2 linked regions of the Macaca fascicularis genome follow. The protein of the gene in region 1 purifies or fractionates together with the protein of each later gene. This does not show direct contact. Links are inferred from orthologs where the notes say so. Each region holds a gene or a part of one and is shown on either strand. Other genes may lie near its edges. The genes, in order: PYHIN1 and DCAF1.

Evidence for each region.
Region 2: the proteins of PYHIN1 (region 1) and DCAF1 purify together in Homo sapiens (affinity purification with mass spectrometry; 3 studies listed by BioGRID and IntAct, counting the BioPlex papers as one, with this or other methods). This does not show direct contact. The link is inferred for Macaca fascicularis from reciprocal best matches to the Homo sapiens genes PYHIN1 and DCAF1.

The regions. Positions count from the first base shown.
Region 1 is NC_088375.1:102,138,884-102,142,707, reverse strand, and holds part of PYHIN1 (pyrin and HIN domain-containing protein 1), read left to right. Parts: intron 1-2,615; 5' UTR 2,616-2,635; coding exon 2,636-2,900; intron 2,901-3,824. UniProt on the Homo sapiens protein: Major mediator of the tumor suppressor activity of IFN in breast cancer cells. Promotes ubiquitination and subsequent degradation of MDM2, which leads to p53/TP53 stabilization.
Region 2 is NC_088376.1:114,446,922-114,450,745, forward strand, and holds part of DCAF1 (DDB1- and CUL4-associated factor 1), read right to left. Parts: intron 3,344-3,824; coding exon 3,164-3,343; intron 2,596-3,163; coding exon 2,386-2,595; intron 655-2,385; coding exon 485-654; intron 1-484. UniProt on the Homo sapiens protein: Acts both as a substrate recognition component of E3 ubiquitin-protein ligase complexes and as an atypical serine/threonine-protein kinase, playing key roles in various processes such as cell cycle, telomerase regulation and histone modification.

The sequences.
Region 1 (3,824 bases):
TTCAGTGATCTTTCACTGACAACATACATACAGAAATTTTAAATCAAATTTGATAAAAGTTTTCATTTAATTAGTTAAGCTCTTTATGTATAGGCTAATAATTAACATATTTTGGCCTGTTTCTGCTATCTTCACTTCAATTTATAACTCTTCTATATTCTCCTACTTGCCTTTTTTTTTAAACTTACATTTCCATCTCACCCTCTAAGACAATTACATTAGTAAACTGTCACATTCTTTTTCTTCCCTCCCTCCACCATGTTGGTATACTTTCTGTTTCTCTTTTCTTTGATCAGGGCTTTCTTTTTAAGACATAGGCATACATAATCAAGTTCGTTTTTCATTCTTACTCGTCTTTTGGCCTGCAGCTTTTAAAAAATTTTTTTTTAATTTTCTATTGAAAAGTTCTTCCAAAAATGTTTCTGTGTGCATCTTTGTCTGGAAAAACTACTAAGGCCTTGAGGTTCAGAGAATAGTTTTCGGGGACCTTTTGTTTAAATATCATTTTGTTTAGATTGAAATTCTAGTTTTAAAAATTATTTTTTCCTTCAAGACAAGATGAGAGCATTTCTTTCGTACCTGGGAGGCTCGATATGTTTTTGAAAATCAGAACTTGGAGGTTTAAAAGATTATTTAATGCACATTTTTCTAGAAACCCCAATGTTATCAGTGTCATTACTGCAAAAACAAAAGCACTAATATTTCAGCATCAAAATATATGAATATTTGTGTTTAAGTGGAATAAATAAAAATCATACATAGCCTCCTGTAATCTCACATCTGGTTTCATTTTGCAAGTTAATTGTGTTGTCATACTCACAAAACAAATCAAAACATCCCATTTCTAAACTTTTTGTTTAGCAATTTATATGGGATTTTGGACCAGCATTATATAAAAATGATTCCATTCTCCTGTTTCAAGTAGATTTGTTGTTGAGAATCAGTTTCAATCTAATTTTTGGATCTTTGCAGGTGATATATTCTTCATTCTCAGAGGCGTATGGAGTATGTATTTGTTTTTTATATGCTTCAGTTTCACTATATGTCTTTGTATAGATTTTTTCCTTCATTCTATGCTTTTCAATCTGAGGACACTCATGTTCTCTCAAGAAGAAAGCAATTAACAGCCCCAGGAATTTAAATATCTTAATTACATAAGAGGTACACAAATACATTCTTTCTATAATTAAAATATTTGTTTTGGTATTTGTTTTTATTGAGATGGAGTTTTGCTTTTGTCACTCAAGCTGGAGTGCAGTGGCATGATCTCTGCTCACTGCAGACTCCAACTCCCAGGTTCAGGTGATTCTGTTGCCTCAGCCTTCCAAGTGGCTTGGATTACAGGCACCCACCACCATGCCTGGCTAACTTTTGTACTTTTAATAGAGACAGGGATTCACCATGATGGCCAGGCTGGTCTTGAATTCTTGACCTCAGGTGAACTGCCTCCCTCGGCCTCACAAAGTGCTGTGATAATTTAAAAAGGAATTAGGAATCCATAGCATGCTTTGTGTGTCATCATGTGCTAAAGTGCACTGGTGCTAAAGAGGTCCAGAGGAGTAATACTGTGTCCTTAAGGGGACTCTGAAAATTTCTAGAAGGCAAACTCTCAGTTGAGTCTTAAAGGTTGTAGGAGAGGTAGTTAGAGAGAGGAATGTGGGAATAGCTTTCCAGGCAATGAGAAGAGAATTAGCAAAGTCATGAAGCATGAAAATGTTTTATACTTCTGAATCGTAAGATATAAGGAACACACAAGTGCCAGAAGTTTAAAAAAGAAAAAAGAATGCAGATTATTCAAAGTTTTCTGAAACCAATACAAGAAGCAAGGAATGTATTGAAAAGAAAATGAGCAAATATTGAAACATTTCAGTGGGATAAAAATGTGTTTTATAGAGATAAATGTGGATCTGTTAAATGAAAATGAAATAGACAAATCGAGCCTAAAAGAAAAATCAAGCAACTATCAAAATATTCCAGCCAATAAATCCTGTGTTCTGCAATAGAGAAAATGTAGATGTCCAGGAAAGTGATAGTTTTATGGGCACAGAGGACAAATACGGCAGGGTCCAACACCAAGGAAGAGGATACTAATGATAGCTGACAAGAGAAGAGTTAAGGAGAATAGGGTCTGTGTCCCAGCATGAAACTGTAGTGCTGTAGCAGAAAGTTATTCATATAAGATGGGAGGCTGCAGCCCATTTACACCTAGGCCACTCCAGTCATAGTGGTGGGTGTGGGAAGATTTAAGAAACAACAGGCAGGTTTTGGGGGATAGGCCCCAGCCCCAATAAAGGATGGGAAGAGGAACCAAGGACTTTGACACTGCACAGCCCATACTCTAAACACTGAGACAATTGCTTGTTCACAGACCTCCTCCTAACACCTGGACCCAATTCAACTATCCTCATTCAATGGGAAGAATTACTTGGACATTCCTAAAGAAACAGTTCTTCACACTCAATTTCTACAGTAACACATTTGGTCATTAAGTCCTTCTTTATCACACATATTCATGAACAACTCTTTCTTATGGGCCACTCATTCACAGAGGCATACATCTTCTTTTAAATTGTCTGTATATGTGTGTAACACTGTCTACCATTTTTCTCTTGTAGGCTCACTTATATCTTTAGAGATGGCAAATAACTACAAGAAAATTGTTCTACTAAAAGGATTGGAGGTCATCAATGATTATCATTTTAGAATTGTTAAGTCCTTACTGAGCAATGATTTAAAACTTAATCCAAAAATGAAAGAAGAGTATGACAAAATTCAGATTGCTGACTTGATGGAAGAAAAGTTCCCAGGTGATGCTGGTTTGGGCAAACTAATAGAATTCTTCAAAGAAATACCAACACTGGGAGACCTTGCTGAAACTCTTAAAAGAGAAAAGTTAAAAGGTAATTGGGAAGAGGGAACACCCACCTGCTGCAACCATCCCCACCCTTCCCAACCTTGATTAGAATGCCACCTTGGTCATAGCTGATACATCCTTTTCCCAATTTGTGACTCACTGGCCGTGACATTGTTGGCACTTCAGATGCCAACAAGTTGACAACTTATGGCATTCCATTACTAATGTGGATTGACGTATATCAGAATATCGGAGTTGAGGTGCAGTAAAAGAACAAAAAGGAGAGGGGGTTGAAGACAGACTGAGACTTCTAGTACATTTGACAGATTACATAATGACAAAATAAAATTATAAAAAAATTGTTGTTTATATCTGAGATATGTACATTTAGCCAATTAATGTGTCCATTCTATTGAGAATATTCAACACATCATCATTCTTTATAATACAAAAGATAACATAGTATTTAAATGTAAGCATTGCTCCTGGTAGTATGAAGACCTCCTCTCTTGTCATATCATTGAGTTAAAATAATTAAAACAAAGTCGGCCGGGCGTGGTAGCTCAGGCCTGTAACCCCAGCACTTTGGGAGGCCAAGGCAGTTGGATCACGAGGTCAGAAGATCGAGACCATCCTGGCTAACAAGGTGAAACCCCGTCTCTACTAAAAAATACAAAAAATATTAGCCAGGCATGGTGGCAGGTGCCTGTAGTCCCAGCTACTTGGGGGGCTGAGGCAGGAGAACGGTGGCGTGAACCTGTGGGGCGGAGCTTGCAGGGAGCCGAGATCGCGCCACTGCACTCCAGCCTGGGTGACAGAGTGAGACTCTGTCTCAAAAAAATAAAATAAAAAATAAAAAAGTCAAAAGTCACAATATCTCACCTCACAAACCTATATAACATCTCCTTTCACTGGTTTCTGTAATTTGAATAGATTATCTGGAGAATGTGACTAAGCAGTCAGCATTATG
Region 2 (3,824 bases), on another chromosome or scaffold:
TTACATCAGCCACCCTTTTCTGGGCCTTGTCCTGCTCTCCCTTCAACTAATTTGTGAAAATCCTAACAGTGTGTTGAATTCCAAGAGTAAAAGGACAATTTTATATGAACATAATATAAACATTATATATGGTTGTCAAGTACTAGCAAGACACTTAAAGTCTAAGCACTGAAGAATCCTGGACTCTAGCCTCAAGACAAGACTTTAACCCCAGCTCTGCAGCTGTGGCCATGTAAATCACGTACCTTCTCTGACAGTACAGACGCTGATCCTTGCCTATTACGTAATATTTACAATCACCAAGACCATACATATGAACAAGTGTGCTGTAAATTAAAAATCATATTTTCATGCCTAATTTCTCAGTTTCAAGTCCAAAATTTCAATTCAAGAAATTTTGTTAAGCATATACCATGCACAAACCAACATCAACTTTAGTAAAAAGATGCATCAAACTTCATTTGAAATCTCTCTCTGGTCCCACCTTGCATAATAGGTCTTCCAATTGCAGGCAATAGAAATAAGCTGCAACAAGAGTTGCACACAAGAAAGTTTGAGGAAGACTTCAGCTGGTTCCCAATATAGCTGTGCTGGGCCATATTCTATCAAAAATTCCATCATTTCCACAATCTGTTCATGAGTATATGAGCATGCCTATAAGGAGAGATATACAGTATTATTATTATATATAACTCTACATCTGCCTACTACCTTCTTGAGCGCAGCTCACTGGCCAAGATATTTCATTTTACTTATTTATTTCAAGACAGGGTCTCACTTGGCCGCCCAGGCTGGAGGGCAGTGGCTTGATCATGGCTCACTGTAGCTTCAATCTCCCAGGCTCAAGCTATCCTCCTGTCTCAGCATCCCAAGTAGCTAGAACCATAGGCACATGCCACCACACCCAGCTAATTATTTTATTTTTCGTAGAGACAGGGTCTCATTTTGTTGTCCATGCTGGAGTGCAGTGGCACGATCATAGCTCACTGCAGCCCTGAACTCCTAGACTCAAGTGATCCTCCCACCTCAGCCTCCTGAAGTGCTGGAATTACAGACATGAGCCACCATGCTTGGCCAAGGTTTTAATTAAAAAGTAAATAATAATACCTTTCAAATTCCAAAATTCTTAAGTCAAAAGCCCATATGTGAAATAATGACCATATATTGATTAATCTTTTACCTTATTTATAATTAGACTCACAATATGATTTGTCCAAAAAGATAACAAGTTTCCTTTGTGCATATAAGTTATAGCTCAAGAGAAAGAAGCATCATGTGACTGATTTCTTTTCAATTTGTGACTTTTTTTTCTTAAGACTGGGTTTCACTCTGTTGCCCAGACTGGAGTGCCATAGCCTGATCACATGCAGCCTCAAACCCTCAGACTGAAGTGATTCTTCCACCGCACCCTCCAGAGTAGCTGAGGCTACTCATGCACCACCATGCCTTTTTTTTTTTTTTTTTTTTTTTTGAGACAGTCTGTGCCCAGACTGGAGTGTAGTGGTATGATCATAGCAGTCTTGAACTCCTGGGTTCAAATGATCCTCCCACCTCTGCCCCCGAAGTAGCTAGAACTATAGATGCACACCACAGGGCCCAGCCAATTTTTAAAACTTTTGTAAAGACAGGGTCTCACTATTGTTGCCCAGGCTGGTCTCAAACTACTGGCCTCAAGAAATCAGTTGGTGATTTTTTAAAAAACATGCAGCTACTCATCTATATCCCAAAACATATCAAACTCCACAATGATAGAGAAGTAGAGTTACAAACACATTTTCAGAAAAGAAATTCTGCATAGAAGGCAAATCATCTAGTACTTTTCATACAAAATAGTTCTTTGCCAGGTACAGTGGCTCACACCTATAATTCTAGCACTTTGAGAGGTCGAGGTGGGAGGCCTCTTTGAGCCCAGGAGTTCAAGACCAGCCAGGACAACATAGTTGCACCCCCAACTCTACAAAAAATTTAAAAATTAGCTGGGTGTGATGGTGTGTGCCTATAGTCCCCCAACTACTCAGGAGGTTGAGGTGGGAGGATCACCTGAGCCTGGGAGGTTAATGTTGCAATGAGCTGTGGTCACATCACTGCACTCCACCCTGGGCGACAGAGGGAGACTATCTCAAAAAGAAAAAAAGAAAGCTTTTTTATACACACTTCAGTTAATCTTTTAGTTCTAGAATCCCAGCAACTTACAACTGGAAGCAAAATAATTCCCTGAAATTCACCTATTACATCCATTTTTCAATTGGTTCTGCCTTCAAACAGGGAAGTATACTCCAACAATGGGCATAACACAGAGTCCACTGATCTGAATGTGAGTTTCAGGACTGAGATGCTACAGAGAGGGCTAACAGAACTTTCCCTTTCAAGACAAGGTCCTCTCACCTTGTACGGGGGTTGTGGGTGGACAAGAATGCCACCCTCAGTCCTCTGAAGTGACTGCTTCACTTGTTCCAATTTAATGGCCAGGTGAGCCTCAAAGTATTTGCGCAAGGCCATGCAGGTATGTTTCCCAGTTTGGCGGCTAGCAAATATTTCATCATCACTCAGAAGTGCACCCTGATCTTCCAAATTTAGAATCTCCAAAGTACTGATCTATTAAGATACAAAATATTGGGGTAAAAGAGGGGAAAAGGCAAGAGTTAAGAAAAAAGATTAAAAAATGGGAAAATATTTTAGTAAACTTTTTTTATTTTCCACACACATTCTGCTATGTATCAGTAAACTTTTATGCTTAACAATACTGACAAATATCAAACCATATTTATGTATATCTGTGTATATAACATGATAACAGTAGCTATATGAAAACAAAACATTAAACCCATACCGAAAAATGAACAAGCTTTTAATCACAGCAAAAAATATACAGGCATAAAACTATTGCTTTTAGAAAGATCAAGATCATCAACTGCCAATCCCCGTGATAAGATTACTATATCCAAGGCAAGTCTACAATGGCACAGTGTCCTCAAACTACTAAAGAAAAAGAGAAATTTGTGAAGGAAGGAAAAAAAAAAACAAAAAAAAAAACTTCACAGAAAGAATGGCAGCAAAACTCCTCTAACCAAAAGCTTCCTTTCTTCAAGGGTGTGCTGTTAAAGGGCAGCCAAGACAACCAGGACCCTTAATCCTAGTGAGAAAAGCACTGAAATAATCTCACCAAGTTCACCAGACGACGAAGACCATCATAGCGGTCAAAGAGCTCCAAGACGGCCCGAAATGAGAAGCAAATTGAAAAAAACATGGTAGCATGGCAGCATCCTGAAGCATGAGAACACTCCATTAACCACAGGGTATAGTTCACCACATCAGACAGAACATTGTGGGGATGCATGCAAACCTGCAAAAAAATACAAATAAAGCAATGCTTTTAAATTGTGGGCAAAGGAGCCTCGAACAGGATGAAAAATTCACCAGTATAGATATCTGCAGAATACAATGACCATTTCCAATCAAGTCACTCTTAGTACAAAGTTTAGGTTATAATACAAAGGCAATTTTAGAACACAATCCATTCCGAACCTGAAAACGACCTAAATTTAGATAAATATTTAAATACAACCTATACTTACTAAGTGCCAACAAATATTTACATTATTTACTGCTCACGAGGGCTCCATTATACAGGTATTAGGATTCTCACTTAAAAGAAGAGGAAGAGGTAAGGAACTTCTCCAATGTGATAAAAGTGGCTCAGATTTCTGATCCTAAGTCTAGGAGTTTGGTATTCATTCTCTGGTTAATTCACACACATTTTGATGTCTACTATGGGTCACAAAATGAAACTGTAAAGCATCCCCAGGTTTCCTTGATATTTTTTT